2 linked regions of the Xenopus tropicalis genome follow. The protein of the gene in region 2 purifies or fractionates together with the protein of the main gene of each other region. This does not show direct contact. Links are inferred from orthologs where the notes say so. Each region holds a gene or a part of one and is shown on either strand. Other genes may lie near its edges.

Evidence for each region. Proteins that work in one complex are often made in the same cells at the same time.
Region 1: the proteins of dcaf11 (region 2) and cops5 purify together in Homo sapiens (affinity purification with mass spectrometry; 6 studies listed by BioGRID and IntAct, with this or other methods). This does not show direct contact. The link is inferred for Xenopus tropicalis from reciprocal best matches to the Homo sapiens genes DCAF11 and COPS5.

The regions. Positions count from the first base shown.
Region 1 is NC_030682.2:119,216,936-119,221,114, forward strand, and holds the start of cops5 (COP9 signalosome complex subunit 5), read right to left. Parts: upstream 2,818-4,179; 5' UTR 2,809-2,817; coding exon 2,666-2,808; intron 680-2,665; coding exon 445-679; intron 1-444. UniProt on the Homo sapiens protein: Probable protease subunit of the COP9 signalosome complex (CSN), a complex involved in various cellular and developmental processes.
Region 2 is NC_030677.2:139,470,419-139,474,730, forward strand, and holds the start of dcaf11 (DDB1- and CUL4-associated factor 11), read right to left. Parts: upstream 2,844-4,312; 5' UTR 2,832-2,843; coding exon 2,677-2,831; intron 1,291-2,676; coding exon 1,163-1,290; intron 777-1,162; coding exon 658-776; intron 1-657. UniProt on the Homo sapiens protein: May function as a substrate receptor for CUL4-DDB1 E3 ubiquitin-protein ligase complex.

The sequences.
Region 1 (4,179 bases), on a different chromosome or scaffold from region 2:
ACCATACAAGTGCAGGCCTAGTGTCATAAGAAAACAGCTTTTCTGTCTCAAACTGTGAAAATTGAGGATTTAAATGTTCACCAGTGCTAATTCCACAATGAAATATGGTTAAATGTGAACAGTCTGCCACAATTAGAAAAAAGAAAAAGTGAATCCTAGCTGCTGTGTATACGGACAGCCTATCTGGGCAAGCATATCCTCCTCAAGGAAAACTGCAACTTTGTAATTAGAATACACATATATAATTGTTAATGTTAAATGAATGTTAAAGCTTAAATAAGTATTGTCCTACTTGTATTGCACATTATTACTGTCTTTATACACTGTATTCACTGTGTAAGCATGTTATGCAGTAGAGATGACAATTAAGGAAATGAACTGAGAGAAGAGAAAACTATCTTTTCCTTTTAAATGGTATAATTTTTAAGCCAGGATGCAAGGTACCTGCTTTGCATTTTCAATATATGCAGCCATGTATTCATAAGCAGCAGCCTGAGCATTGACTCTGGTTTCAGTTCCTTCAACTGGTAAAGCAAAACTGTCCATAATGATCATAGTCTCCCCGTCCACTTTTCCAAGCATGAGGCCCATCACCTCAAGGTTCCCTCCTGATCTGGCGTGCATGACCATCTTCAGCAGGGCTAGGGCAGACACTTTGCAGTACTTGAAGTAATGATGGCTGTAAACAAGAAGAAGTAAACTTACCCAGGGCATAATTTCATGTGAACAACAGAAAGGCAGCCTCTTTTCTTGCTAATCAATAGCAAGTCAGTTCCCTTTAATAGCCAAGCAGTGTTTGCTTTGGTTAGAACAATGCAGCTCACCATTATCTCACCAATCTGCACATCACATAGCTTTAACAAAAGTGCATTTTATAAAGGCTAACCGAATATACCTATTGAATGTGTATGAGGCAGCTATGATCTCTCTGCAGCACTTAGGACAATGAAAGACAAGGAGTTTAGACAACTGCCTTGCCACTGGTGAAAATATAAATCACCGGTGGGAAAACATAAGCGATGCTACAGCTTTCCATAGTCAGAAGTTTCTTTGCAGGGCAACTTCGCATAATTTTGGAAAGCCAAAGCAACGCATATGTTTTTCCACCGGCAATTTACATTATCGCCAGTTGGAAGGCATTTGGAGATGATCAGTTGCCCATGGTAGAGGAGATTTATAATGGGCAACTAATCTCATGTGTCAGGGCCCTGTTGCATGAAAGATCAGTAAAAGGGCAATCTAGTCAGTGTATCTTATGTCCGATACCTGTACCTTGTACTTGATCCCAACTAAGATATAATTTATCCTTATTGGAGCCAAAACAATCCTATTGGGTTTAATTACTGTTTACATATTTGTTTTAGAAGATTAAAGGTAGGAGATCCAAATTATGGAAAGACCCCTTATCAGGAAAACCCCAGGTCCCAAGTTTTCTGGATAAACATACACACATTAATTGGACTGGAGACAAGGAACCTTTCTTTCCTCTGTAATATTCAAATCCCCCCATAATTAATACAAGCTAATAAAAGAATTACAGAGGAAAAAGTTTTTGGGTCTACAGATTCCAAACCCTGTCACTGCTATACAATGCAGTATATTACCTTTGTTTTTATAATTGTGATAATTTGTACATAGATAGATAGGCTAGATAAAGAGCACTGCACGCTCAAGTTTATTGAAAAAATGTTTGGAATACCAACAGTATTCTTCAGGGACAAACCAACAGACTGAATACCCACACACATTTTAAATAACATCCCACAAAAAATGGCGCCAAAAAGTGATCATAGTAACCATAAAAAACACTGTAAACCAACAACATGGAGAACAGAAGCAGAAAGAAGCAAAGAAACAGAAAATAAAGTGAAAATAAGTTAAATTATAGCGTTACAAGTATGTATAAATGGTTAATGAAAAAATGTTACAAGATGTGTCTTAACATTAAAGTTGATAAGATATGAGACATAACAGGGACAAACTAAGCAACAACAGCAGGACTCACCAAGGTTAGGGAGAACAGTATTGAATACACTTGTATCGAATAAACTTCTAAAGGCCAGTCATATGCATCTAAAACACTCCGTAACAATGTGTTACAGCCACAAGTCAATCCTGACCGACCGTCAGCTTCTTCATGTAAAGTCACATGCCCCTGAGCGAATATGGCCTGTAGATATGCAGCTGAGCATATCTATAGAGCTTGGTGGTCAAGCAACTGGGGCTTTATCAGCAGCTTGTAATAACTAGTTTACTTATAGTAATAACTAGTATTGAAACCACCTGGCTGCCAGAGATGTCTGGGAATTGTAGTTCAAGTAGAGTACTTTCAAGTTTTTCACAATGCTAAAGGGTATATTTATCATGCTGTGTAAAAAGTGGAGTAAAACATTACCTGTGATATTGCTCATAGCAGCCAATAACATGCTTTGCTTTAGTTTTCTAATTGTTGAAATCTAACTGCTGATTGGTTGCCCTGAGCAACATCATCAGTAATGCTCTCCACTTTTTACAAAGCATGATAAATATACCCCTCAATATTGGTATATTTCACTTCAGACCATCCAATTGTTAGCGATCTACAACTTTCAAATCCCCTGGATGTCATGCATTCTGTCTCTCCTATCCCAAACAACCCCCGTCCTTCTCAATTCCCATTTCTTACTCCTTTGTCCATGGTTTGGCTGCTAGGATCTCCTGCTGCTGCTTCTTATCGTATTTATAGATCTCATCGATGCTCTGCACCTCCTGCATGTTATTGGAGAGCTCCCATGTCTTCTGGGCCACGCTGCTCCCAGCCATGGCCATGGCCTCTTCAAAGTCCGCCAGCCTTACAGCTTACACCGGCTCACAAATACACAACGTCGCCTCACACTGCGCACATCCGGAAGTCTAGCCTTGCCTCCGCCCTCCGCCAGGCGCAGTCACAGTGTGGGAAGCTGCAGGTTCCAGAATTATAACTTAGAAAACTCTCCTGGTTCTGGGATTGATTTCATTTCGGCTTCATTATTCTGTTACATTACAGAAAACAGGAAAGCATAACACACATCGGTCATATAAAAACAATACATTTTTTTGGTGGGGGTAAGACTTACAACATCACCCTCCTGTTTTCTACAAATGGTATCGTCTGCTTGAAAGTCATTAACAGTGACGTCTTTCAGTATTTTATTAACCCCATCTAGCGATAGACAGTGGTATGGGGGGCTTGGATTGAAGATGGGATTAATAAATGGGTTCAGAGCAAGAAATGGATCCCAGTGCTGTTTTATGTGGGTTTCCGTTTAAACTGTAACCAATAGGTTATTGATGCAACAATGGCTGCAGTTAGGAAGTAGCTAAACAATCATGAACTGCAGTAAAATAGCAGGTCTTAGGCAACTGGGTCAGCATATAAGTACCTACAGTGTTATGAATAGAATGCGTTACCTGTGGGTTTTTTTGGCATGTAGTGCAGCAAAAAAAGGATGAAAACTAGGCAAATTTATATCTTGTACTAAATTCTTATGCCTTAACCCTTTCACTTCCAGACGATTGGGTCAAAGCGGAACTTTCACTTTAGGGGCCTTTCCTCGGGGGGACTTTTAGTTTACCCAGAAAAACAATATATCATTTTTTCAGGACAATTTAAGCTTTCAAAATATGGTAGAATTCCAATTCTGTAACAAGATATAGGCTTCTAAATGTCTAAAAAAATTATTTTATGCACGAAAATACAACTGATTTGGAAAGCCCCATGTCTCCTGAATGTGCCAATACCAAATATACATAGTTTTATGGAGATTTCTCACTTGTATAGGTCAAAAACTACAAGCAGTACACTACCAAAATTCCAAAGCACTGGTTCAGAAAGCTGCATACTTCAGGTTTCAAGGCCAAAGATTGCAGTAACAGAGGGTTTATCCCAGAAATCATACATTTTTGGAAACAGATTCTGGGGAATCCAGAATACGCACAACTGTCTGTCTACTCCAAACTACCAAGTTTCCTAAAGTTACTGATTTTTATCAAAATTTGTAAAATTTAAAAAAAATAGCTTCAAAGCTTCCAGTCTATAGTATCTTATCTCCTGCAGGTCATAAAGTAACCAAATTAAACATCCTAAATTTGAACGCCAGGGGTCCACTGAATAGTTTGACACCCAATATGTATAGGTTTACCTAAGTAAGTGTCATGTAG
Region 2 (4,312 bases):
CTTCGACTACAGGGTAGCTTTCTGGGAATGCATAGAGAAGCAGGAGCCAGTGTGCAGCAGCAGCAGATTTCTTCTGTGCCTATACATAACTGTCTGACTTACTGTGCATTTCCAGAATGCTTCTTCTCTGTCAGGCATGCAAAGAAGGCTCTCCTCTTTGACTACCCTATAGTCGAATAGATGAGCAGAGCTGAACAGAAAGAGGGGGCAGGCCTTCACACTGTACCAGGAAGTGACTAAGATATGTTATTCTGGGGGTTGTTTAGAGTAATTTATTTTAAAGATAGAAAAAAAAGGTTTACTCCTTCTTTAAGGGGCACCCAAGGAGACATTCTTCCCACCTACATACTCCCTCTTATATTGCGGGTGCAAGCTTTGATTACCAGCATATAACAGGTGCAAATTTTTTCACCCCCTTATTGAATGTGCAAAAGTTTGAACATGATAGCAGTGGGTGCAGATAAGCCATGGTAAAGATGCAGAACAGGCAGTTACATTGCACTTTGCGCCTACTGGACTCAAGGTTTATAGGCTATGCCCAAAATACTGTATATCTCATATGAAAAATGTATAATATAACCCATATGTGTAACATGGTTTTGATGCAATATGTTGTAAAAGCATACTTCCGACATCCAGTAAGTAGGCCAGTCATACCTCCAATAGGAGACGTGTGATGTTATGTTGTCTTTGTGTGCTTTGTCTTCCTGTGGCCAAAAGTGTCTGTGTCCTGATCTGATTTTGATCCAGCGATGTGGTGTCTGGGGCTGAATCAACTTCAAGAAAAGGAAAGTTGAATGAGATTTAGGCATATAAACTAAAGAAAAAAGCACACCAAAAGAGAATATGGCACAGAAAATTCTGTAGAATGAAGAAAAAATGCTGTTGATCTTGCCATTTAATTTACACTCAGAAGACCAAGCTTAAAATTAATGAATTTCACATATTAGCTAGCGACATGATAGATTTTCTAAGAAATATGCATGCCTGGCTTAGAGTTGTAAGAATCTTATAATATGAAATCAAGGTGACGTCTTTTTGAGCAATAGTTAACTAAAGTCAAACTTATTATAACTAACAGCTAAAAGTGAATCACACTCCGCATGGGTGTGTGGCAAAGGTGGATTACCAATAATGTAAGTGTGAAGACAAGACGACTCACCAGGAGGAATGTAGCGGTCTCCTAAGCAGCCCTCCCAGGCACTGTCGTTATCATCATCTGAGTCCGACAAAGATTGCACCAGGTGTAAGCTAGCAGGACCCCCTCCCTGCACTAATCGCACTTGTCCCCTAAGATGGAAAAGGACACCAACTCTCAGGACAGACATACCTCACACACAAGGGATGGGAAAGAACTAGGGTTCAGTGGGGAAGCAAGTTTGAGGGCAGTGGTTTACAAGCTCTGGGTATGTTTACATGCAGTATTGACATGTGGGTAGTAGAGGTAGTGTGCACAATAGCTCAAAGTTTTGCAAATCTGCTCAAGAATAATTTAGGAGAAATCTTGAAGGGCTGCAAGTAGGTAATTAAAATGAAGAATTCTCTAGGGCAGAGGTTGATGACCAGAATTGTTTGAACCCAGAAAGTAAGAATATGCTCATGTGGGCCATCTATAATTTTCGGCAGGCTCTCAGATATAAATAAACCTCTGATAGAAATTATAACTGATAGAATAGACTGTGATATACTGTAAAAGACTGCAGTGTTTACAGTATGTGCTGTACAGGCACATAAAGAACTTTATATTTGACCCTTCAGCACAGAGTAGCTGCTGGCTGCCCTATGTGCATATGTAAGAACTTTATGGTGCTAGTACTTGACTTGACGTTACAAGTAAAAGGGCTGTAGCATTATCACAGTAAGAAGAATGAGGTGAGAGGCCACTGCACTGGGCAAAAAAAACAAAAAACCCCAATGTTTCATGACTTAGTGGTGTCTCCATTTTCACTCATCCCCATGTAACTCAGTATTGGTGGCTTCGTATTGATTGAAAATGCTAAAATAACTCTGCACTGATTTGCTCCTTGCTCCTTGATTATTTTTTCAATTTAACAAAACATAAGCAACACATTTGAACCCAACTGCTGGATGTATAAAGTATCATGCCATGACACTGGCAACTACCTACAAATGATCTAAAATAATGTAACAGAGACACTATTTAACCCTTTCTGTTGCACAGGTTTTTGATCTAACCGTGTTGCATGTTGCCAGTAAACACCTTGCACCCTTCAAATAGAAACAACAAAAATGTAGAATCTTTGGGGCCAGCATGATGGAACTTTCGTGACGAAGCAGTAGATTCTATGATGATTCTATGATGGGTGACAGGTAAAGGATTAAAACAACTTTAAGGTTAAAAACAACTTTTCTGGTAATGACCATGCTACATATTCCACCTCTCTGCAGTATAATTCTATTCTGCTTTACAGTATGATGCCTAGTCTATATGACCACCTAGTGGCTATTATACAATACTGCTGAGCTAAAAGATTCCAGAAGTATTTAATTTATTGTCTGTCTCATTATCTATTAAAGCCCTTACCTGTCTATAAAAGAACCCTAAAACTGAACACTGAGCAATGTGCGCCATAAGTAAGATCCTACCTTCGCTTCAGTGTTTGCTAAGAATATAGTTGGACAAGTTTATGGAGGACATGTCAGGGGTCTTGTTACCTGCGCAGAAGATACGCCAGTACCTGCGCCAGGTCAACGTTCTCCTCATCATCATCATTCTGAAGACCACGTGACTCTAGGTTGTTTTGGGAGTCTTCTGGAGAATCTCCCGGAGTTTCCCCACCTCCTGCACTGCTACTACTTCGTGTTCCCATACTCCATCACTGCAATATACAGTAAACAAAATATCAGTAAAAAAAACACACGGACAAGAACATTGTTAATGCGCATGCCCAGGCTGCAACGTCATCGAACGCGTTTAAATCCCCGCCCACATGCGATCCTGCAGGCCCAGCTGTGCCCAAAGCCCAGTTTCCAAAGCCATTTCTGTGTGCCTTTGTTTGGATTTTCTTCCAACCTCCAAGAAAAGCCCTAAGAGAAATAAAATCTACAATTCCAGATACACAGAATGAGGTAGCCAGTACGGAAAAAAAACATTCAAATGTGGGAACTTTATTAGTAAGGGATGCGTTGGCAAGGTGACGTGCCTGCAGGGCAGAAGCCCCGCCCCTTCCAAACTCAGCTTGGGTTGCAGTGCTGTAGAGCTCTGCTGTGTTCGCACAGTGCTAGGGAATAGACAATTTACAGCTAAATAGTCAACGCCGTCCGGTACTCGTAACAATTGCTATTGTGGTGAGGGGCAGCTAAGGGCTGAACCCAGGGCGGTATGTTGTTATGGAGCCGATGCATACATTTCTTCTCTTTGCTCCTAGACTTCTTCCAGATGACAGTTCCCTGCAGGGCCGCTGCTGGCCAAATGGGTGCCCTAAGCAGAAATGTACTTTTGTGCCCCCTCCCCCAAATATTACAGAAGTAAAAAAAAAATAATAAAAAAAACCACCTACTATAGGGGCCCCACACACAGTGCCCCCAATATCCCCCATAGACAATGCCCCCATAGTAAGTGCCCCCAATAGCCCCCATAGACAATGCCCCTATAGTATGTGCCCCCAATAGCCCCCACAGTAAGTGCCCCCAATTGCCCCCATAGATTGATTGAACTATCCGGGACAGCAGGATGCGCTATAAAAACCGGACAGTGTTGGGGGGTATGTTATATAAAAATGATTTTTTTGAGCAGCTGGGATGGTGCCCCCCTGGGAGTTGGTGCCCTATGCAGACTGCATACTCTGCTTATAGGGAGCAGCAGCCCTGGTTCCCTGACTGGCGTTTGCAAATCTGTAAGGCAAAGACCATAGGAATGGCGACAAAATAAAATAAAGTTTATCGTTGACTGTATGCATCTGCTTTTTGTAATGTACCCCTGTGGGCTGGGCTAATGGGTGTGAGACTGACAGGATATTCAAACACACCGTGAATACCTTTGTGGTAAAAGTGTGCATGGGCAAAACTCTTTCAGTTATGTAAAAGTTGAGAAGTAGGCACATCACTGGAACACAGTCTCTTTATAACTCTGCAAAAGAACAGGCCTTGAATGTGAAGAAGGATACAGTACAACACAGGCTTCCAGATAGATTCACAAGAATTCAGCTGTTGGCCTGTCGTGATGTAGGTATTTACTATGTAATAAAAGTAGTATCGAAAGGTGATGGAAGAGTTAAACTATTAGGTTAAGGTCCCCATACACAGGCTACCGCCAAGCCAGCAGATCTTCTCCCCAACTACGGGTGGGCGA